Linked DNA regions of Pelodiscus sinensis. The protein of the gene in region 2 purifies or fractionates together with the protein of the main gene of each other region. This does not show direct contact. Links are inferred from orthologs where the notes say so. Each region holds a gene or a part of one and is shown on either strand. Other genes may lie near its edges.

Region 1 (7,438 bases), on a different chromosome or scaffold from region 2:
CCGGCGCATCGGGCTGCCTCAGCAGGGTTCTGGGGTTTGCCACCAGGTCTCCTCCGGGCGGGCCGTGTTCTCCTCCCTCCTGGCGGTTGCTTGGATATAGGCACAGTCTGCAACACGGGCGCATCGGGCTGCCTCAGCAGGGTTCTGGGGTTTGCCACCAGGTCTCCTCGGGGCGGGCCGTGTTCTCCTCCCTCCTGGCGGTCGCTTGGATATAGGCACAGTCTGCAACACGGGCGCATCGGGCTGCCTCAGCAGGGTTCTGGGGTTTGCCACCAGGTCTCCTCGGGGCGGGCCGTGTTCTCCTCCCTCCTGGCGGTCGCTTGGATATAGGCACAGTCTGCAACACGGGCGCATCGGGCTGCCTCAGCAGGGTTCTGGGGTTTGCCACCAGGTCTCCTCCGGGCGGGCCGTGTTCTCCTCCCTCCTGGCGGTCGCTTGGATATAGGCACAGTCTGCAACACGGGCGCATCGGGCTGCCTCAGCAGGGTTCTGGGGTTTGCCACCAGGTCTCCTCGGGGCGGGCCGTGTCCTCCCTCCTGGCGGTCGCTTGGATATAGGCACAGTCTGCAACACGGGCGCATCGGGCTGCCTCAGCAGGGTTCTGGGGTTTGCCACCAGGTCTCCTCCGGGCGGGCCGTGTTCTCCTCCCTCCTGGCGGTCGCTTGGATATAGGCACAGTCTGCAACACGGGCGCATCGGGCTGCCTCAGCAGGGTTCTGGGGTTTGCCACCAGGTCTCCTCCGGGCGGGCTGTGTTCTCCTCCCTCCTGGCGGTCGCTTGGATATAGGCACAGTCTGCAACACGGGCGCATCGGGCTGCCTCAGCAGGGTTCTGGGGTTTGCCACCAGGTCTCCTCGGGGCGGGCCGTGTTCTCCTCCCTCCTGGCGGTCGCTTGGATATAGGCACAGTCTGCAACACGGGCGCATCGGGCTGCCTCAGCAGGGTTCTGGGGTTTGCCACCAGGTCTCCTCCGGGCGGGCCGTGTTCTCCTCTCTCCTGGCGGTCGCTTGGATATAGGCACAGTCTGCAACACGGGCGCATCGGGCTGCCTCAGCAGGGTTCTGGGGTTTGCCACCAGGTCTCCTCCGGGCGGGCCGTGTTCTCCTCTCTCCTGGCGGTCGCTTGGATATAGGCACAGTCTGCAACACGGGCGCATCGGGCTGCCTCAGCAGGGTTCTGGGGTTTGCCACCAGGTCTCCTCCGGGCGGGCCGTGTTCTCCTCTCTCCTGGCGGTCGCTTGGATATAGGCACAGTCTGCAACACGGGCGCATCGGGCTGCCTCAGCAGGGTTCTGGGGTTTGCCACCAGGTCTCCTCGGGGCGGGCCGTGTTCTCCTCCCTCCTGGCGGTCGCTTGGATATAGGCACAGTCTGCAACACGGGCGCATCGGGCTGCCTCAGCAGGGTTCTGGGGTTTGCCACCAGGTCTCCTCCGGGCGGGCCGTGTTCTCCTCCCTCCTGGCGGTCGCTTGGATATAGGCACAGTCTGCAACACGGGCGCATCGGGCTGCCTCAGCAGGGTTCTGGGGTTTGCCACCAGGTCTCCTCCGGGCGGGCCGTGTTCTCCTCCCTCCTGGCGGTCGCTTGGATATAGGCACAGTCTGCAACACGGGCGCATCGGGCTGCCTCAGCAGGGTTCTGGGGTTTGCCACCAGGTCTCCTCCGGGCGGGCCGTGTTCTCCTCTCTCCTGGCGGTCGCTTGGATATAGGCACAGTCTGCAACACCGGCGCATCGGGCTGCCTCAGCAGGGTTCTGGGGTTTGCCACCAGGTCTCCTCCGGGCGGGCCGTGTTCTCCTCCCTCCTAGCGGTCGCTTGGATATAGGCACAGTCTGCAACACGGGCGCATCGGGCTGCCTCAGCAGGGTTCTGGGGTTTGCCACTCAGCTGGAACGGGGCAGGAATCAAGTTTTCGTCTGCAAGTCTGGTGTCCTAGAGTCTCGATTTTAAGGGTCACTGCAGGTTGGTTCCCGGTGGTTTCTGCTTCCACCACGGAGGAGCTGGCAGGAAGGTGGCACTTCCGGCCCTTGGCCGGCACGGGGGGGTTGCCACTGTGCTTCAGGGACCACAGCCAGCCGGTGCCGTGGGGCAGAGCTCTCCACTGCCTGTCACTGGCCCCCTGCTGACCTCCTGCAGGGCTGCTGCAATGGCTTCGCCTGGGAACGACGCCGAGGAGGCCCAGTGCCTCCATTGGTCCCGGGGCTCGCTCCTTGCTTTGCGGGGCCGGAGGCGTCTGCTCCGCCGAGGGACCCTTGCGGGGCGGAGAGAAGCAGAAGGTCTCTCCAGGCCCCAGCCGCCAAGCAGGCAACGCGGGAGGGGCGGTGAACACGGTGCCCGCCAGCCATGGTAGGCCCCACTGGAAAGGGCTAGTCTGGCGCAGTCTGAGCGCCCTAGGCGGCTGCAACGCCGGTGTATGAGCAGCAGTTACAGCATCGAGGTCTGTGTAGGCACGTCAGGGTCAGCTCTAGGCTCGTGTCCTGGAGGCTGACACCGGGGACCAGGCTCCTCCTGGAACCGCTGTGGCCGGTGATCCACGCCACGCACTGTGCGAGCAGGCGCGGTGCCCGTGTGCGCCCGTACGGACGGTTGCTCAGATGGGCCCGTGGACTTAGGAGATCCTGGTCAGGGTGAGTGGCGCGTGCCGTGGGACTCTGCCCAGCGGAGGGGGGTAGCGGGGCTCGCTTACCCCGATCTGACTCCTGGCGGCTGCGTGCCAGAGCGGGGTGCCCACTCCTCCCTTGACTGAGTCCATTGCCACTGGGACAGGGATTCAAGGGGGGCTGGCACCGGCAGCCAATGTGTCTTGTGCCACTAGCAGACCCTCTGGCGTGGCTAAGGGTCCCGCTCCTGTCCGGCTGCTCCACTCTACGAGCTGGACCTGTGAACCAGAGGGGGCCGAGAGCTGCCTGATGTGGGTCCACGTGGGGCTCGCCCACAGACTTAATCCTGTTGCTTAGGGGGCTGCAGCAAAGGGACCCGCACCATCCTCTTCGGGTGTAGGCAGACAGCTCCAAAGGAGCACAGTGGTCTGAGGCGTCGGTGCTTGGCGCCATGTCGGGTGAGTGCACCGGCGCCGGAGTCAGGGCTGGCTCCAGCAGGAGGGCACGGAGCCAAATGTTCCACTCCTGAAGCTGTTGCTGATGAGAGCTCTGCCCAGGCAGCACGAACAACTCCCGTGTAGGGCACTGACTGGCACAGGTATCTGCGGGGGTCACAAGATTTGAATGCCGAGACTGGGGCATGCCCCGACCCAGGCAAAGTCCCAAAGGGGGCCAGAACCCCCCCCCCCGTTGCCTAGCCGTGTCCTACAAGAGCAGGGATCCAGCTACACAAAACAAGGAAGAGTCAAAATGAAGGCGGCTACAGTGGGTAGTGGAGCAAAGCAGTCGCGTGCCCCATCACGGGCTCATCCCCAGTGAGGAGGGGGAGCACGCGGCAGCCCGGCTATCACACCACAGAGGTGCCACTCCATGGGCCGCCAGGGGACAGTCTGCACAGGGCAGCACGCACCCCACTGGGGAATGCACATGAGCAAGCGCTGGAGCCCTTGGAGGACAACTCCCATCTGGATGCATCATCTCCGGCTGGTTCTCCCCACGACTCACTGGAGGACAGCTTGGACCCTCTTTGAGAGGCAGGTGTTTTCACCTTCCGCAGCTCATTCTACCACTTGCTTTGACCACGCTAACGGGACACACCCTGCTGCAAACGTTTCTAGCTTCTTTTTTATCTCTGATTCTTTAGAGAGAACTCACGCAGCTGGCTCAAGAAATTGAGAGAGAAGAAACTGAAGGCAATACAGACGTTATCCATCTCCGGAGTCCATAGGAAGCTCTGTTCCATCTATGGCAATATCTCATTGAGTTAAAAAGTAAGTTTTTAGCCAAGATTTGGACACTTTGGACTGCAATCCTCTGGTTTTAGCTGCGAATGTCTTTTCTTCTTGGCTCCGCGTACAATGTTCTAACTGAAGTGGTTTTAAGATCGGTAGGTCCCTCTTCGCAACCCAAAGTGAATACTGAATTACTGGGGTTTTTAATTCCCTTGGCTTTTGAGACGCACCTCTCCCGTGTTTAGCTACAAACATGCCCTAGACCCTCCACACAGACCACCACAACGGCCGGGCTGTCGGAGGCCAAGGCTTGGGTCCTTGGGTGAGCTCTAGCAGACACAGGAAGGAGACCAGCGAGGTCTCCAGCAGGGGCTCTGTCAGAGCCGCCTGGTTTGTCCAACCCCCTCTTCCCTCGAAGTGATCCTGCCTCTTCTTATAGTCTTTGTTGCTAGGAGACCAAGGCTAATTCTAGTCACATCTGCACAGCAACAGCCATTTCCTCATCCCTTGCTGGTGGCAAGGGCCCCTTGCGGGAAACCAGATTATTTCTGCAAGCTCCCCTCCGCCAATATCGCCACACACGGGCGCTTTCTTCGCACCGTGAGCAGCCCCTTCTGCCCCCGGCTCGGCAAGGAAAAGCCAGTCCATGCACACCCCCGGCTCGGCAATGAAAAGCCAGTCCATGCACACCCCCGGCTCGGCAATGAAAAGCCAGTCCATGCACACCCCCGGCTCGGCAAGGAAAAGCCAGTCCATGCACGCCCCCGGCTCGGCAAGGAAAAGCCAGTCCATGCACACCCCCGGCTCGGCAAGGAAAAGCCAGTCCATGCACGCCCCCGGCTCGGCAAGGAAAAGCCAGTCCATGCACACCCCCGGCTCGGCAAGGAAAAGCCAGTCCATGCACACCCCCGGCTCGGCAAGGAAAAGCCAGTCCATGCACTCCCCCGGCTCGGCAAGGAAAAGCCAGTCCATGCACACCCCCGGCTCGGCAATGAAAAGCCAGTCCATGCACACCCCCGGCTCGGCAAGGAAAAGCCAGTCCATGCACACCCCCGGCTCGGCAAGGAAAAGCCAGTCCATGCACACCCCCGGCTCGGCAAGGAAAAGCCAGTCCATGCACACCCCCGGCTCGGCAATGAAAAGCCAGTCCATGCACACCCCCGGCTCGGCAATGAAAAGCCAGTCCATGCACACCCCCGGCTCGGCAAGGAAAAGCCAGTCCATGCACTCCCCCGGCTCGGCAATGAAAAGCCAGTCCATGCACACCCCCGGCTCGGCAATGAAAAGCCAGTCCATGCACACCCCCGGCTCGGCAAGGAAAAGCCAGTCCATGCACACCCCCGGCTCGGCAAGGAAAAGCCAGTCCATGCACACCCCCGGCTCGGCAAGGAAAAGCCAGTCCATGCACACCCCCGGCTCGGCAAGGAAAAGCCAGTCCATGCACACCCCCGGCTCGGCAAGGAAAAGCCAGTCCATGCACACCCCCGGCTCGGCAAGGAAAAGCCAGTCCATGCACACCCCCGGCTCGGCAAGGAAAAGCCAGTCCATGCACACCCCCGGCTCGGCAAGGAAAAGCCAGTCCATGCACACCCCCGGCTCGGCAAGGAAAAGCCAGTCCATGCACACCCCCGGCTCGGCAAGCTGCATGCGCCAGCAGGGGGCAGTCTGCGCAGGGCCTCCGGGCTGGCCAGCATCGGCAGGGCACTCTCCTGCACACCCCTGGATCTCCCCTCCCCACTCTCAAGCAGCCAGAGGCTCTACCCCCCAGCATGCCTGGCGGGGAGCAGTCCCGCCAAATAGCTCGGATGCGGAAATTCCATGCGGACTCCGGCAGGTGGGGACCAGCTCCCACACATGGAGCTGGCGCCATGCAGACAAGATGCTCTGCAGCCCTGCATGAACCTGGCCTCTCTGGAAAGCAGAGCTCCTCCCTCTCCCAAGCAGACGCCAGTCACCTTGGGCGACAGCTGGCGCACGAGCACCCACGCCCTGCAATCTGGGCCAGAGAGGTTCGGTCAGCTGTGTCCATGGGCCCTTGCTTCTACCCTGCATGGGGGCGAGTCGGTCACTGCTGCAGCTCCTTTGCAATGGGAGAGTTCTCCCGGAGAGGGTGGTGGAGCACCCCAGGGAGCCATCTGAAAGCGCTGCTCTTACTGTGGGCAATCATTTTTGGAGGGGGCCATTCCAACATTTTGGAAAGTGGTCAAGGGCCGCACTTTTCTGAGAGGATGCGGGGTCTAGGATACAGGATGGGTACAGAAGGGCGCACGGGGTAAGGGACTGGGGTGCAGGAGATGGTGTGGGGTCTGAGGTGGAGTTTGGCTGAAGAGGGGGTGGAGACTCGGGGCAGGGGTTTGGGTGTAGGGTCAGGGAGGGTGTAGGAGGGGGTACAGGGTCTGGGAGGGAGTTGTGACCTGGGGCAGGGGGATGCAGAGGGTTTGGACGGTGACCTGGGGGAGGAAGTTGGGATGCAGGAGGGGCAGGGTGCCAGAGGCAGGCTCTGGCTGGGAGACAGGCACCTAAGCATCTTCCAGCCAGCAGCCCTGCAGCACCCCTGAGGCAGGCTGGGCTCCCTGCTGGCTGCAGTCCCAGACCTCTTGAAAATACAGGCTGTTCCCTCCATGTGGCGCTCAGCTTGCGCTGCTCCTGTCCCCCAAACAAATCTCTCAGCTCCTAGTGGCTGGTTGTTTCCAGCCACCAGGAGCGGAGGATAGGGGTGGTGTGTGTGTGGGGGGGGGATCACATGGAGCAGCCCTGCACTTAAATCAGCAGCTGCTGCAGGCCTGGGGGTCCTGGCAGGTGTCCATGGGCCGGATGCAGTGGCGTGGTGGGCTGGATGTGGCCGGGACCGAGAACTTGCCCACCCGGATACAAGGTTAGCAACCTCTCCTCCCAGTAGAGTCTCTGGGCAGATCCCTGAGCAGCACGGAGGGTGGTGCTGAGGAGGTGGATTCAGTCCAGGTCATAAGACACGGGCACCGAAAGCTGCAAGAGCAGAATGCCAGGGGCTGTCCGAGCGGACACAGGGGAAGCGAGCCCTGTCGGAGTGAACCATGACTCTCAAAGGGGAGCAAAGCCCTTCGCCTGCTGCAGGTGCACCCTGAAGCCCAGGTGGGTGTCTGCGTGGAAGTCGCCTCACCTCAGGACTAGGCCCTCTGGGGCTACTCTGTCTCCTTGCTCTCCGCGTCCGAAGGCTTGTTTCTTCTCTTGAGAAGTGAGGCCGGGGACAGTCTCCACTGGGGGACCAGACGGATGTGGAATTCGGAGGCTACCTTAGGAAGGGAGAGAGGGTCTGGACACGGCGTCAGGTCAGCCGTCACGACTCCCAGCCCCTGCCCTCTGGCTGTAAGGAACGGAAGAGGCTCAAATGTGGACTCCTCCATGCACTCAGGACACGAGTCAGGCCCCTGGAGAAGCTGGCTCTTAACTGGGGGGAGAGGTTGGAGATGGCTGGGTGGGTGGAGACCGAAAGTCCCTTGGGGGGGACTCAGCCTGAGGAGGTCATTGCGAAGGCCCGCTGGGAAAGCACTGCCCCCTCGGCAGGGAAACGTTTCTCTTTGCTGGGGGGCAGCGCCGTTCTGCACCAGAGCCGTGTGGCAGCCACGCCTG
Region 2 (7,031 bases):
TCCTAGATATAGGGTAAATCATGGTATCCTAATTTAAGAACATAATGTTTAGTACTTCTATAGCCCTTGTTTCAAAGTGTTGTGCAATCATGAACTAATATTCTTCACAACACTACTCTGAAGAACTACTCTTTATATAGCATACAGTAGCATTTAAGGTAGAAAGACACAGTGCTGCCCCAAAACTTTCCACTCTAAGGCTGAAAATTATCATAGGAAAATAATATTCCTGTATAAATTCTTCAGTGCACACTAAATAGTTATTCAATTATTTCTTTTAATTCTAAACATAAAGCAAAATACTACACATTTAGAGTTAAAGACTAAAAATCTCTATATTCATGCACAATTAGCCTTCACAATAGTTTTCTTCTTTGTGGGATCACATGAAGGTCTGGTAAGGAAATCAGTCACATGAGGCTCAATAATATAAATATTGTAAGAAAAGATTATAGCAGGTTTGAGTATCACTGTTGTCTATATTATAGACATTTCCTGTAATCAGAAGAATGGGGTGTATACAGAGGGCATAAAGCCAATGGGAGTCATGCTGTGTCACACAGAACTTGTCACATGCTGATGTCTCTGTGTCACTCATTAAGAAACACCATCTCTAGAATTATTCTTATTCCCAGACAGTCTTGCTTGAAAGTAAAATGAAAAACTGGATTTTATCTCTGTTTTTGAACAACAAATCCCTCTGGCCCAGAGTTAGGAACCTAAGTCCCTTTGATGGATCAGGCTTAGACTCCGCCACTCTCCTCTTCATTTCCTATTGGCTAGGTTAATCCCCTCCCCAATCCATTTGCTGACTTGTGTGAGTCCCGCTCTTAGGTGCCTAACTCTCTCCATGCTTTGTATCAGGAGTTTGGCTGCCCAAATCAACATGAGGCTTCCATTGCACAGCAGGGCACGAAGCTTGCCATTGCAAATGTGAGCCTCAATCCATTTTGTGGCTCTAACCCTGCATTCCTAAAATACTAAAACCAAATCCATGTACTCCTGATTATGTTCATTAACTCATCTGATATCTCATAATTTGATTTGCTTGTATTTATTTTAATGTATTAAAGTATAGTGCCAAGAGACTTAGTACTACTTCAGACACCAACCAAACTTTTCATTCTCAAGTCTTTAATACGTCAGAGAATATTCAGTTTTTATGTTTTGTATTTCTAAACATGTGACTCTTATTCCTTAGAATACAATAAAAAAAAACTAAGGAGTGGTTCTTACACAAACTTAATCCAGTTGAGACTCCCATAGTTAGAGCCCTGCAAATCTGCAGATATCTGCTCTATATTCTCAACTCATTTTTGTGGATATGGATGCAGATAGATAACATTTTGTGGCTAGAACCCTGAAAATTTGCGATATTCACTTTATATCCGCAGATATGTACATTTTAGGACATCAGTGGGGATATCCATAGCTCATTTTTGTGGATGTGGATGCAAATCTTGTATCCACTCAGGGCTCTACGCATAGCTTATCTCTCTTTTAAAGTATCATGATAAGTCTGTCACACTTTTATTTGTGTGCCTTGGTCAGCAACTGACAATTAAAATATTTTCATTAGTCTTCAGAGTAAACACCCAATTGAAATGAAATGCGACAGCTGACAGCAGTCTCAGCTATTGTTTCAAGCTGTCTCCAGATATCACAAAAAGTTAAATGTGCTCCATCTTCAAAACTGATTGCTTTTTAATATAGAAAATGAGATAAAATTGGCTAGAGTGCAAAACTAGTTCAAGGTGATTGTAAAAACATTTTATTTGCTTCAATCATTTTTGCATACTTATTTATTTAAGTGAAGTTTCCTGGGCGTAAAACTCTGTTCATATGAATATTTACTCAGTAAATTTCAAGCCCTTTATTTAATCATTAAACTAATTTAAGGCAGAATTATAAAGATTTGTTTATCCAGACACAGATCAGAAATAATACGTCACTGGGTAACAAGTCACATAGCTTGAATATCAAAAGGCTTGTAGGAACAATCATAGTGAACAGTTTGTAAATGTTTGAATCCACAGGCTGAAATTTGCTTGCAAAAAATAGTCAAACAGTTATGAAATATGAGCAAGTTTATAAATGTTCCTTTATGTTCATGACCAGAAAATAAAGTGTATATTATCTGAATAAAGGTTCAATACAAATTGTTTACCCAGCTCTAGTTGGAAAATGGACTGGGAACTATACCTAAATTCTAATCCCAGTGCTGATGCATACTTCCTTTTGACCTTGTCAAGTGACTAAACCCTTGTGTACCTCAGTTTCCTCACCTATGAAATAATAATGGAGTAGTAATAACCACCTCAGAAGGCTGTTACCAGGCTAAATGTTTGTGAAACATTATTTGTTACTCAGACAGTGTTCCATAAGTACAAAATATTCTATCTGAAAATAAACGTCTAGCAAGAAGTGGGGTCAAACAATGGGAGGTCATAGAAACACATATTTTCCTTGTACAACTGAAAAAACAATTTAACAAATTTATTTTTGCCTTTTATTATCAAGGCCATTTTCTGTACAAAGTTTCAGATTAGTAACATTTTAGACTGAAGACAAAATTCCTTGATCATAGGAAGTTACCTTGCCAAAATTGAAAGTAAAGAGAGAGAGAGCCACAAGGATAATTTATCTACTTTTTGTTAACATCACCCTGACACACAGCATTAAGACAAATTTAGTCATTAGCTCTTTTAGCAAAAACAACTCCCCTATTTAAATTTTAAATTGACCTAGAAACATATAAAATGTGTTTTCTTTAACTTCCTTGCCCGGCTCTGTACACGTGGGAAATAGACGTTTCTAAATATATCAAACTATTTTGCACTAAATAGATCAGAGCAATAACAGGGGCCTGACAAGGTCAGATACTTACTGGTTTTGCCAGCTAATTAAGTTTTGCTGTACAAATACTCGTTATTTAGTCTTCTTTGCCTTTGAAGTGTTTTCTAAAGCCATATTTTCATCCAGAAAATAAATGTTTTCTTTTTTCCATAAATAAAACCCTGTCTGGTGAAGCTCTGTATTTAGAATGCCATGTGAACGTCTTGGCTTTCCTGAAGTAAGTGTTAATGTTTGCAATGTTTCTGGCAACTACAGAGCAACTATACGTCAGATCTAAAACACAGTGTGTTTACCATGATCTGTCTTGTGCAATTTTGTTGTAACAATAACTGTGTGAAAGGTTGCTTGTGACGTTGCTCAAACACTCTGATTACTCATGTTGACATGATGTGTGTCTGAGTGATATAGTATAGCTGGTGTAATGAAAGTGCTTGTCTGTTTTTATTTTTTTAAAGTGAAACCCCTCTTTCAGTGGGTTTCATGTCAGAAAAATTTGGGAAGGATGGAGATAGAAGAAGGGAGTTTTGTCAGCATGTAGAATATTATATATAATTTTATTATTCCTACAAATTAAGGACAGCTGGAGGGTAGGAGGCGGGAGTTGAAAAAAATAACAGAGTATATAGACCTATGAAAAACAGGTTGAGAACTCAACTGCCCCCACAACCCACAGCCGATGTTCCTCAGAAAACGATTTCTACTGAGTAGAAGACTCCTATTCCCCAAATTCTGTGATAGAGGTATTAGAGCAAAAAGTGTTTACAGCCTCTGTAAAACAAAGTATATCATAGAATTTTTGTAAAGATAGTTAACACACATGCACGCACACACACACGTGGATGTTTACACACACACACACACACACACACACAAAATAATATATTTTTTTCAAGACTAAATACATTTCTGCACTTTGGAACATGGCTAAAAATGAGTTTATAATCTCAATTTGCTTGGCCAGGCACCCACAATAAATTAAACACTCATTCATAGGACTTTATGGTCAACAACAAAAAAGAGGTGGGGGTAGAAATGGAGAATAGAAAAGAGGAGTTTTGAACAGAGTGTTATTTGTTATAAAAGATTAAAAAAAACCCTTTTTTATTCTGTTTACTGGGCTGACAGTGTTAGTTCTCACTGAGTAAAGTTCCTCACAATAGCTATAGTGTAGTTCAGCCCAAACCATAAATTGCACATCATGTTTTCATTGTTTTTTGGAAGCCTCCTACAGTCTTATGTTTTACACAGCAGTATCATGCTTCATGACTAAGTCCTGTCTGTATTACAAGACAAAGTTGTGTTCTAATTATGTCAGGAGACTGTCTCAGCAGCATTCTCAGAACCTTTGTTTTCTTTGTTTAAAAGCCTTCTACAGTTTTTTGTTTTTGTTAAAAACATGTAACTCAAACATCTGTCTCTAACTCCACCTACACTTCTCATTTTGATATGTTGGTATGGCATCATCTTATAACCATGATCAGTAGTCATCTTTTTATTATACTGTAACAAATATTTATTTTTATACTATTATCTTTAAAGTCCACTATCTTAAAAGAAGAATGTTAAGAACTTGATCCTGCTAAGAGCCCTGCACCTGTACAGAACCCCATTGAAACCTCTGGAGCTCTGCATACATTTAGAAGTCATCCTGTACAAATCAGTGGGTAGGAAAAGGGTCAAAGGGATAAAATCAAGCATTCAAAAGTTGGGAAATGCAAGAATAACCTTAATTCTTGCAGTCTCACTCCTGCTCACTTACTGATACAGGCTTTATGTACCTGATCATCTGTCTGATGGACCTAACCCCCAGGTAATAGGTTACATCTGAATTCCCTCCAGTACAAGGATTGCTAGTAATCTAAATCCAAGGAAGATTATAGAAGGAGATTTACATCCCAGACTTTAGAATTTCTACCCAATTTTTTAATTATATAAATTGAGTAGAGACCACTCTGAACCATAAAGTCATTCAAGAAATGAGTTATTTTTTATTTATATTTTGCTCCTTTCACTCATGACTGGAATCCAATGAAGAACAGTGGCTCCCAGTCTCATGACTAAATCCAAGCAATGAATAAATCTTGGTGGCATGTGAAAGGGTTAGACTGTTAAAGAAGAAAGACAACACCTCCATCAGTTAATAGTTGTTTCATATTATAGGATTAAGCCTCCCCCCAGTCTATTCAAGCTTTTATTGGAGATGCAGCTTCTGTTGCCCCAAAAACTGCTAGTTCCAAATGCTTTTTCAGTGATGCAACTATGCCCTCTTCACCAGTTTTGAAGATCACGCTACAGAAAAAAGAATAATCGATTTCAGGCCCTTGAAGCTTGAATGACTGATGCAGTCACTAAACACTAGAAGCTAAATGCTACTCTCATTCGTTTTTGAGAGAAATCAGTGGAAAGGTACAATTGTAACAGAGCAGAACTATGTTGTGGCACTTAAGGGGGGGAAAGAAATAAAAAACTAGTTTGAAACTAGGTGCCGTTCAAAGGACAGGAAAATTTGGATACCATACTCATGACTGCTGGGAAAACCTGAGAAACTGATGTAGTTCAAGAACAGTTCATTCATATACAAAACATATCTGTGAACTGGTGCCAAACTCCTTCTCTCTCTCCGTTTATATTTATGCACTTTTCATTACTTGAGTAGAATTTGTTGAAAAATAGAAAAATATTTAAAAAATATCAAAATATATATGATGGTCTGAACAGTTAGAGTAACATATAGTATGTGACAAACCCACTGCATGCACTAATCCCCATATATTAATGAGAATTTATAGCAGACTTACCCAGAATTGCCTGGGTCCTTCAGGGCAGGGACCTGGTCATGTGGGGGATGCAGGACTCAGAGCAGGGCCTAGTGCATCAGGAGGGAGCACAGGAGGTTGGTGATGAGGGAAGTGCAAGAGTGAGGGCTTGGAGGTAAGGCGGGTCTCAAAGCCTGAGGACCCATCTGGGACAGACCTTTGCTCTCCCCCTGGCCACCAGGGATGTTTTTTTCTTCCAGCTGCCACAGTCACCAGAGCCTTCTGTCTTCCACCTCTGCCAGCCACCCGGGGCCTTCTATCTCCTCCCAACCCCTCTGACCAGCATGGACTTTGGCCAAGAGCCAGGAGGAGGAAATGGTTTGGGATGAGGGGGGCTACTTACCCAATCTGGTGGCAGGCAAGATGGCAGAGCTCCTGTCTGATGGCTACTTTCTTGGTGGTACAGCTGTGCAAGTGTCCACTGTGCAGTATAGTTCTCCCCCATGCTTACTGCCCCTGATGGCCACTTTCAGTATTCTCTTCTCTGTGCCCCTCCCTTTCCATGTCATGGAAAAGAGTCCTATTCCTGACACTTTCTGGATACAACCAAATCCTAACTTTTCTTTAAATTAGGATAGGTGGAAGCTGCATACCAAATTTGGTGATCCTAGTTCCTACAGTTTAGGAGCAGTTCTTGAACGAACAGACACATAAATGGACAGACACACACGGATGCACATTTCTAAAATATATAGATAACTGACCATGTAGAAGGGCATGTCTACACTACCACCCTAGTTCGAACTAGAATGGTAATGTAGGCAACCGGAGTTGCAAATGAAGCCCGGGATTTGAATTTCCCGGGCTTCATTTGCATATTGCTGGGCGCCGCCATTTTTAAATGTCCACTAGTGTGGACTACGTGCCACGCGGCTACACGCAGCACGGACTAGGTAGTTCAGACTAGGCTTCCTAGTTTCACGAGTAACGGTGGTTCAGAATAGGAAGCCTAGTCCGAACTACCTAGTCCGTGCCGTGTGTAGCTGCGCGGCACGGAGTCCGCCCTAGCGGACATTTAAAAATGGCGGCGCCCAGCAAGATGCAAATGAAGCCCGGGAAATTCAAATCCCGGGATTCATTTGCAACTCCGGTTGCCTACATTACCACCCTAGTTCGAACTAGGATGGTAGTGTAGACATACCCGAAGAGTTTTTAGAAAATTTTGATTTTCAAGGGTCAGTTTTGAAGAACCAAATCCAAATGAGTGGCACCAAATATGAATGGTGCTACTGTGCATGTAATACCCGATATTATGCTTTTTCTGGAAATAACTGGTGAGTGCCTACAAAAATAGAGATTCATGGATACAGTGGGTGTGTTGCATGTTGCATAACTAGCCTCTTGCAAACATGACAATTT
Region 3 (7,746 bases), on a different chromosome or scaffold from region 2:
ATTATAGTTTTAAGTAAAACCATTTTTCAACTGTTAAAAGCAACTTTTTCTTTAAGTAGACAACTATTGACATCACTTTCCACATATTAACCATTTATCAAACATGTTACTAAAATAACATCACATACATGGCTACCTGAAAGGTTTTTTTTATTTCCAGCAGAAAATCAACTAACAAATTTTATGTAGGGTATAATTGCTTAAAAGTCATTATTTGAAGAATGTAAAGTAGTTGCCACATACTCTAACCCCAGATAAATCCCACAATATGGGATTTCATGTAGCTAAAATAATCCTGCTATCACAATTGTAAGACAATGTAGTAAGAATATGAAATCTAGGCTTAGTTGGAAGAAACATCGCTACAACAGCATTTTTACCTAAACTAAAGCACCAATGCAAACTCCTTAACTCTTTCAAAACCATATTTGCAGTTTTAAAATCAAATTTAAATTAAATTTGTCAAAATAAAATTACAATATCCCTTCCTAGAAAGAAGCTGAATCTGAACTGCAGCAGCCCTAAGTTCAGCAAGCTCCTATCAAGACACATCATCACTAGATTTATATGCAGGGTACATCAGAATCATATCAACACTTACCTTGCTGAGATGCTTCACTGAGGCTTGTGTCAGCTTCTTTTCCCACTTCCATATCACTGGTGGGTTCCTCCAAGGGTTCTTTCCCTTTTTGACGGGCTGCAGTGGAGGTTTTGGTGCTCTTGCTTGGCATGCTTTCTGCTGGCCGTTCCCCTCCGATTCCAAGCAATCAAACTACCCAAGGGATATGTCTCCTTTGCTAACACAAACAAGAAAAACCCCATGACCCAAGTGCTGGGCGTATCACCCGTTAAGGGCTATGACTGTGCATGTGTCTCCAAATGACTACTAAGAAGCTAAAATCCAAATGAATTTCAAAAATACTCAGGATTTCAAACAAAAACTAAAAAACAGCTTAGTTACCATTATTTTAAAGTTCCTTTAAAAGTTAGCTTTATCGCCCTGACTTATTTAAGTAAGGACATCCATCTACTGATATCCACATTCTGATGTGGCAACATGAAAACATAACATATAAATTCAAATAAAGAAAAATTATGACAGGTGTTATTTCAGAAATAAACACTGAATGAACAGGCCACGCAGATATATATACTTGAAGTACATATTTTATAGTATACACATCCCTCCTAAAGATTTTCTACCAAGAATTTTCAGTAACCCTATCTAATAATATTGAAATACTATTTCCAATGTATAGACAGTCTCTAGTCCAAAGGACATACTGAAATGTTTGTCTGCTAGAAATGCAGCTAAATGCTCACACTTAAAAGCAGCACACCAAATGAAAAGCAAATTAAATATCAAACAGATTTGATGTTAATGCTTGATCAAGAAAAACAACAGTAAAAAAGTCCATCACAGAACATATTGGCAGGTGCCACCCCCCGCCCCCAAGAATAAAAGGTAGTTCAGGAGAAAGATGAAAACCAAGAAACCTGAAGTAGTAAAATATTCTCCCCCAAAGTCTAAATTACTCTATCACAGCAAGTGGTGGATTTAGCTTGGAAAAAAGCAGGCAAGAAAGTTTATGACATGGTTGGAAAGTCATCTTATAATGGGTGACAATCATTTGACATTTTCAGTCCATCCCCCACCCCGAGTCTTTCATTTGGGATGGAGAAAGGGGATCCCATGAAGAAGTGTAAAGATAGAAGATGAATTCATTTTAAGGCAATTTGAGTATATGCTACCTCCATTTTTTATAATAAATTCTACAGATGTTTTTACACTTATTGAAATTGAATAGCATAAACATACAAAAATATTGAAAATAGATTGAGAGTAATTTACAACATAACTGTAATAATCTTTTAAATCTGAGTTCCCCAGCATCTTAATCTGGATCATCTTGCCAAACATGAATAACTAACTAGTTACTCCCTGATAATCTAATAAGTATTTATGCTCAAACCCAAAGCCCTGACATTTAAAAAAAATAAAAAATGTGTTTCTTAAAAGCAACACTTAATGACCTGCAATTAAGTGTAAGTCTCACTTCGACAGGGAATTTTAAAGACGACTCCCCATTTGGAAGAGATTCAATTTCAGGGCAATAACTGATGTCAGCGAGAAGAGACTGTGCTGTACATCTCCCTGAGAATTGTTTTGAAATCAACCAGTCATCCTAAGCTCCCCACAGCCCCTTGTTCTGAATCTATAGGAGTTTCCCCAGAGTATAGTTGAAAATAAAATTATAAACAAGTCCTTAGTCTAAAGACAGTTTAAAAACCAGGCCTCTGAAGTTCTCAAGAAACTATATCACAAACTTGTTACTGTGCCCCTTCCAGTGACTGGTATCTGATGAATAGGTCCCCATAGGTACATAAGGATACAACGGGGAATCCACTCTGTTCCATAGATTGCAGTGAACCCCCCCCATGATTTGCTAGATATAATCCTGGTGGAGAGGTCGCCGCCCGGGGGCCAGAATCACATCTCTTCTATACGGTGAGGAGTCCTCGGGCAGGGCAAATTACAATGGGGTGGTACGACAGTCGCCCCACCCCGCGGGGCTGCAGGTTACAGAAGTGGGAAAAGGAGCCGCCGTCTTTCGCTCTCCCGAAGGGGTGGGGGGGAATGGAAAAGAAACGGAGGGGGAAATTAAGACCACCGCCCCTGCTCCCGCCAAGGCAGCTTACGTAGGAAATCTACAGCTTTCCCCCTGGCAGGCTCCATAGGGAGGTTCCCCAGCTCCAGTTACAGGGAAGCGAGCCCCCCAGCTCCACCTGTCCCCAAATTATTAGGTACTTTGCTGGAAGCGCTGCTGGTCGAGCCGCCCCAAGCCTCGCAGTCCTGTCAGCGGGCAGAGCTAGTACCTGGGACGCGGAGCAGGCGGCCAGCTACCCCGCCAAGATTTCGGATGACGCTGGCTCTGGAGAGTGCGGCTCTTGCCTGCTGCAGCTTGGCGGCTTCTACACTCGAAAATGGCGCCCAAACGCTAAACTCGAACCGAAATTCGTTAGAAACGCGCGAAGCATGCTGGGTACAGAGGGGGACGGCCCTCGGCCTCCCACAGGTTTGAAAGGAGGAAAAAAGTCCTCCGGCGCCATATTGTTTTCCGTTATTGCGCGGAGCAGGGTACTAATAGAATAAAACCATTTACATTGTTTTGGTATTTTTTTTAATTTAAAGCAAACTAAAAGACCGTTATTGAAAGGTGCCTAAACGGGGAAAAATCCTACAAATTTAAATCAGACGATGGATTAACGGGAGGAGCTCGGTTGCTTAGTAACTGCCTGAGGCGATAGCGGACGAAATTTAACAAGATTTAAAAAAACTAACAAAGAACATTTAATATTTTTAAAAGATATTAACAGACGGGTGCGGTGACGTCAGCGACTTGTCACCTGGTTTGGGAGGGTCCGTTAGGTGGAGGGGGGAAGTACGGAAGTCTCGCGCGGGGATACGCGCAGGAATGTCGCGGGAAGTCGCTATAGAGACAGCGCAGCTTCTCTGCGGGAGTGGCTAGCAGCGCGGAGAGGAGTGAGACTAGTAAGTGGTCTCGTTGAGTTCCCTCATTCCCTCCCCCCCGCGTCAGGAGTTCTTGGTCAGCCTGAACTGGGGAGGAGGAAGTTTGTCAAATCCGTGAGGGGCTGGGAGCTGCCTACGGCTGGGAGTGACTACTAGCCGGAGCACCAGCGACAGGATCCTGCTCTGGAGAGGGTTCTCCACGCCCTCCGCTCTCCCAACCGGATTTAGACCCCTTAGACGGACCAGCTTCATTGGACAGGTAAATTGATAAGAGGGGGAAGCCCTTCCAGCTCTCCCTTTAACTGGGCTGGGAGTGACTATTAGCCGGAGCACCAGCGACACAGGAACAATCTTTATAGTGGGGCTGCTGAAAGCTATTGAAACAAACTAAATTCCGTATAAAACGAAAGCTACTTCAAGGAGATATAGCATTACCCTTAATTCCAGCATTTATACCCTGTCCTGGGAAAGTGGAAGGAGAAGCCCTCTAACCTTGTAATGCAACGGACTGGAGAGGCAGCCCATAACTTCTATGGGGAAACTGGGAGGGAGGAGCCTCGCCAAGAAAGAGCTAAGGGAACAGTTTATCCTAGTTTGTGTTACGCGATCCCCCACAGCCTGCCTTGAAGGAAGGGAACGGTAGAATTGCTGATCTCTCTCCCGTGGTGTCAAACCAGTTCTAAAGCAGTGGCTAATGTAGTCTGTTCTTACTACATTTAAAAGGCAGAACCACAACGGGGTAGGTGCAGAACCTGGTGCAAGCCAGGACTCAGCAGTTCCGGCTCACTCCAGGTCCCTGACTTTTGCCTCTTCCCGCCCCCTCCCACTTACTGTGGAGACAGTGCTGGGGGAGGAAACTGGCTTTTAAGGACCTGAAAAAGGCTGGGTAAATCTAGTGTAATGTGGAACATGGAATATGTTGAAGAGTGGGATTAAGCTATGTAAGGGGGTTTATGTGGGTTATTATAGGTACAGGACTCTGCCTGGGGCATAATGAAATGAAGTTGTGCAGGAGGCCGGACTGTGGGGGAAAGCATGTAAAACACTGAGCTCTGTAGTGGGGCCAACGGTGGATAAAATATTGCTGGTATCTCTCTGAACAATTGTTGCTATTAATAAGTTTCTTTTTAATAACAAAAACATTGTTAGAGTTTAGGATAGGGATGTTAAAGGTTAAATGATTACAGTTAACTGGTGGGGGTTGCCCCAGCCCATCTGGAGCAGCCCCACCCATGCTCATTTAATTGGTTAACTGGTTAAACATAAATGGGGTTTTACATCCTTAGTTCAGGATACTCAAATGAAAAATCTTACAAATACCAAAAAAAGGACTAGTTAAAGCAACATTCTTTCATAATTATTAATGTCTATTAGGGTAATGTTAACTTGTGGGTAATCAGCTAGTCAAGTAGTCAGTGGAAATTCCATTGACTAGTCAATAAGGAGAAAAACTGCAGAGCCGTACTGCGGCTTTGCCTTTTAAATGTATTAAAAGCTGCTGGGCTCTTAATACATTTAAAAAGCAGAGGTGCAGCAAGGGGGACTAGGAGCAAGCTGGGAATCAGCTCTGCCTCTGCCTCTGCCTCCTGTGCTCTTCCTCCCCTTCTTCTTTCACCTTCCCCACCCCTGATGCCTCTCTAATAGAAGCAGCAAGGGTGCGGGGAAGTGACCATATGCTTATCAGGTAGTCAACTAGTCGCTTACATCCACAATGTCTATTGTCCTATAATTCAAATGCAATCACAGACATACCATTTGCATAACACAAACTTCCTTGCTTGATTATTTAGAGAGAAAATTAAATATGGCAGTCTTAAAAAAATTAGGGTTTGATAAAATACATTGTGAATGTATGGTGACTTTTTGTGTATTTAGAGATCTATCACATATTTAGACCTAAAATACCAGGCTGCACAAAGATGAGACGGTTTAAGGAGCCAATTCGGAGAGGCACCTTCTACTGAGTCCTCTCCGCTCCAAGTACCTAATGGGATTAGGATTTAAATTAGTTTGTCATGATATTGCAAAATCTCACTAGACAGAATCCTTTGTCACTAAGGGGAGAGGGTATAAAACTATTCTATTCATTAATTGGAGGCTTCAAATCATGCTCACATTCTAAATTTTGACCCTGGCTATATTAAGACTTGGTCTCTGTAGACAGAAAAGTGTTATTTGGACATTAAAAAAGCCTACAGTAGGTAATTTTTAGATTTTATGATTATAAAGAATACCACCTGAATGAAAAATAATCTGAATTAATGAAGTGCTAACTTCCTGCTTCTGCAAATGGGCCACCTAAAACAGCAGTATACAGATATGAACTAGCACATTCATTTACGTATCAGCGGGAAGCTAAAGGAAAGATCAGGCTAACACAACTACCTCTCTATTACTTTCAACATGGAGGGGAAGCTGCATTCGTATGTGACTGCAAAAACAGTGATACGTTCTATGGCGTCTTAAAGATTAACACAGTGGTCCCCAATCTTTTGGGACTGCCGCGCGCCCGGGGTGGGGGCCGCCCATGCGCCGCGCACCTGGAGGTGCAAGAATGGCTTGGGCAGGCCCTGGTCACTCGACAGGCGCACATAAATGCCCTGGTGGGCGCCATGGCGCCTGCGGGCACCGCATTGGGGACCAGTGAACACATTTCTTCATGCATAAGCTTTTGTGGCCAAATAAATCTGTTAGACTTTAAATTGCCACTGGGCTCCTTGCTGTCTCTTCATCTAAGTGGTGAGACACCCTAATGCTGTCAGGCACTATTATTAACTGTTTCTATGATGATCTTTTTATCAGACACCTTCAGATAGTGTTGCTGATGAGAAGAGAATTCAAGCCCATTCCTCCCCTTCCATTAAAATCCTCTTCATCCTTGCTTTACAGTGTTAGAGGAAAGAAAAGATACATCCTCCTTCTCTGAGCCAAAAGCCTCAAGCCTTTAAGATATCTTTTATTGTTCATTGTACTTAACGTTTGCTTGTGTCTGGGTTAAATTCAAAGTTGTAGTGACTAACAGTGGTATCTAAATACTATACACTGCCCTCTGAAAGTTTTTGGTGGTCTCAATCAACATGCCCTTTAATTTTTTTCCCATCCACATGTGATTTTTTTTTTTCCAGCCTGGTACAGAATAATTGTATGTGCATCGAGGCATGTACACAACCAGTAGAAACAAAAGCCAGCTGTGAGCACTCTTGCTAACCAGCTAGGTAACATTTGAATTTCTCCTGAGCAGTCACACAAACACATAGGGAACACTGGTCTCAGTCCAGTTCCTAATGAATAAATGTGCATAGTACCATTTGTGGGTTTTATGATAACTAACATCTTTTTTAAAAAGAAAAGGTGGGTGAGAACATCTTTTATTGGACCAACTTATGTCAGTGAGAGAGACAAGCTTTGGAGTTTGTGCCATACTCAAACAAATGTCTACTGAGCTTGTGCAACAGTTTTGAGGTTCATAACTTGATCAGACTTGGGTAAATTTTCATGAGGGTGGCAAATGTCACATCCCTGACACCAAGGAAATACCTTATCCACCCAAATGTCAAATCCTTGCCTGAAAGCATAGAGGTAATAGAGCTTCTAGACAAAACATTTGTAGTATTATTTTAAACGTGGACAAAATAACATTTATCTCATAGTTTCATTCTTGGAAATGGCTAAATGGTTCTAATTAAAACTTTATTTAAAAAAAAAATCTGAGGCAGATACCTAGGATGGAAAATTTTAGTCCCTTAGTGTCCAATCAGTTCTGAAACAGTAGCCGCTATAGTGGCTATAGCTATAGCGAACTAGCTACACTCAACCGGCCAAATAGCCACATGTGGCTAGTGACTAGAGTGTTGGACACCATGGCTTTAGTCGGTATAGTTAAAGTTTGGCAAGTTGTAAGCAACTGAAAACAAGATCTTAGTGGGAAGCTTTCAGGAAGTATTAGCAGCAATTATCCTTACCCTGTATTGACAAGGCATGATATCTTTATACTCTGGTTTCTCTCTCTGATTTTTCTTGCATTTAGGTGGTTTGTGATTCCAGACCATTCATAAAGATGATTCTGCAAGCCTAATGTCAGAGTATTCTCTAAGGTTGCACAATTTCAACATAAATTATTACAGTTAAGCAGTTCTAGTATCACTTGTTCTTTAAATGGCTTAGTATGTTCACTTTAATTATCTCCCTTTCCACACTGTAGATGCACATAGCAT

What was found.
Region 1: the proteins of HECTD1 (region 2) and ras GTPase-activating-like protein IQGAP1 purify together in Homo sapiens (affinity purification with mass spectrometry; 3 studies listed by BioGRID, with this or other methods). This does not show direct contact. The link is inferred for Pelodiscus sinensis from reciprocal best matches to the Homo sapiens genes HECTD1 and IQGAP1.
Region 3: the proteins of HECTD1 (region 2) and SMC4 purify together in Homo sapiens (affinity purification with western blotting; 3 studies listed by BioGRID, with this or other methods). This does not show direct contact. The link is inferred for Pelodiscus sinensis from reciprocal best matches to the Homo sapiens genes HECTD1 and SMC4.

Annotation. Positions count from the first base shown.
Region 1 is NW_027465934.1:150,191-157,628, reverse strand, and holds the start of ras GTPase-activating-like protein IQGAP1, read right to left. Parts: upstream 3,028-7,438; 5' UTR 3,023-3,027; intron 1-3,022. UniProt on the Homo sapiens protein: Plays a crucial role in regulating the dynamics and assembly of the actin cytoskeleton.
Region 2 is NC_134714.1:51,020,453-51,027,483, reverse strand, and holds the start of HECTD1 (E3 ubiquitin-protein ligase HECTD1), read right to left. Parts: upstream 3,076-7,031; 5' UTR 2,888-3,075; intron 1-2,887. UniProt on the Homo sapiens protein: E3 ubiquitin-protein ligase which accepts ubiquitin from an E2 ubiquitin-conjugating enzyme in the form of a thioester and then directly transfers the ubiquitin to targeted substrates.
Region 3 is NC_134720.1:32,814,919-32,822,664, reverse strand, and holds the start of SMC4 (structural maintenance of chromosomes protein 4), read right to left. Parts: upstream 3,028-7,746; 5' UTR 2,878-3,027; intron 2,816-2,877; exon of another isoform or gene 2,395-2,815; intron 833-2,394; exon of another isoform or gene 798-832; 5' UTR 732-797; coding exon 602-731; intron 1-601. UniProt on the Homo sapiens protein: Central component of the condensin complex, a complex required for conversion of interphase chromatin into mitotic-like condense chromosomes.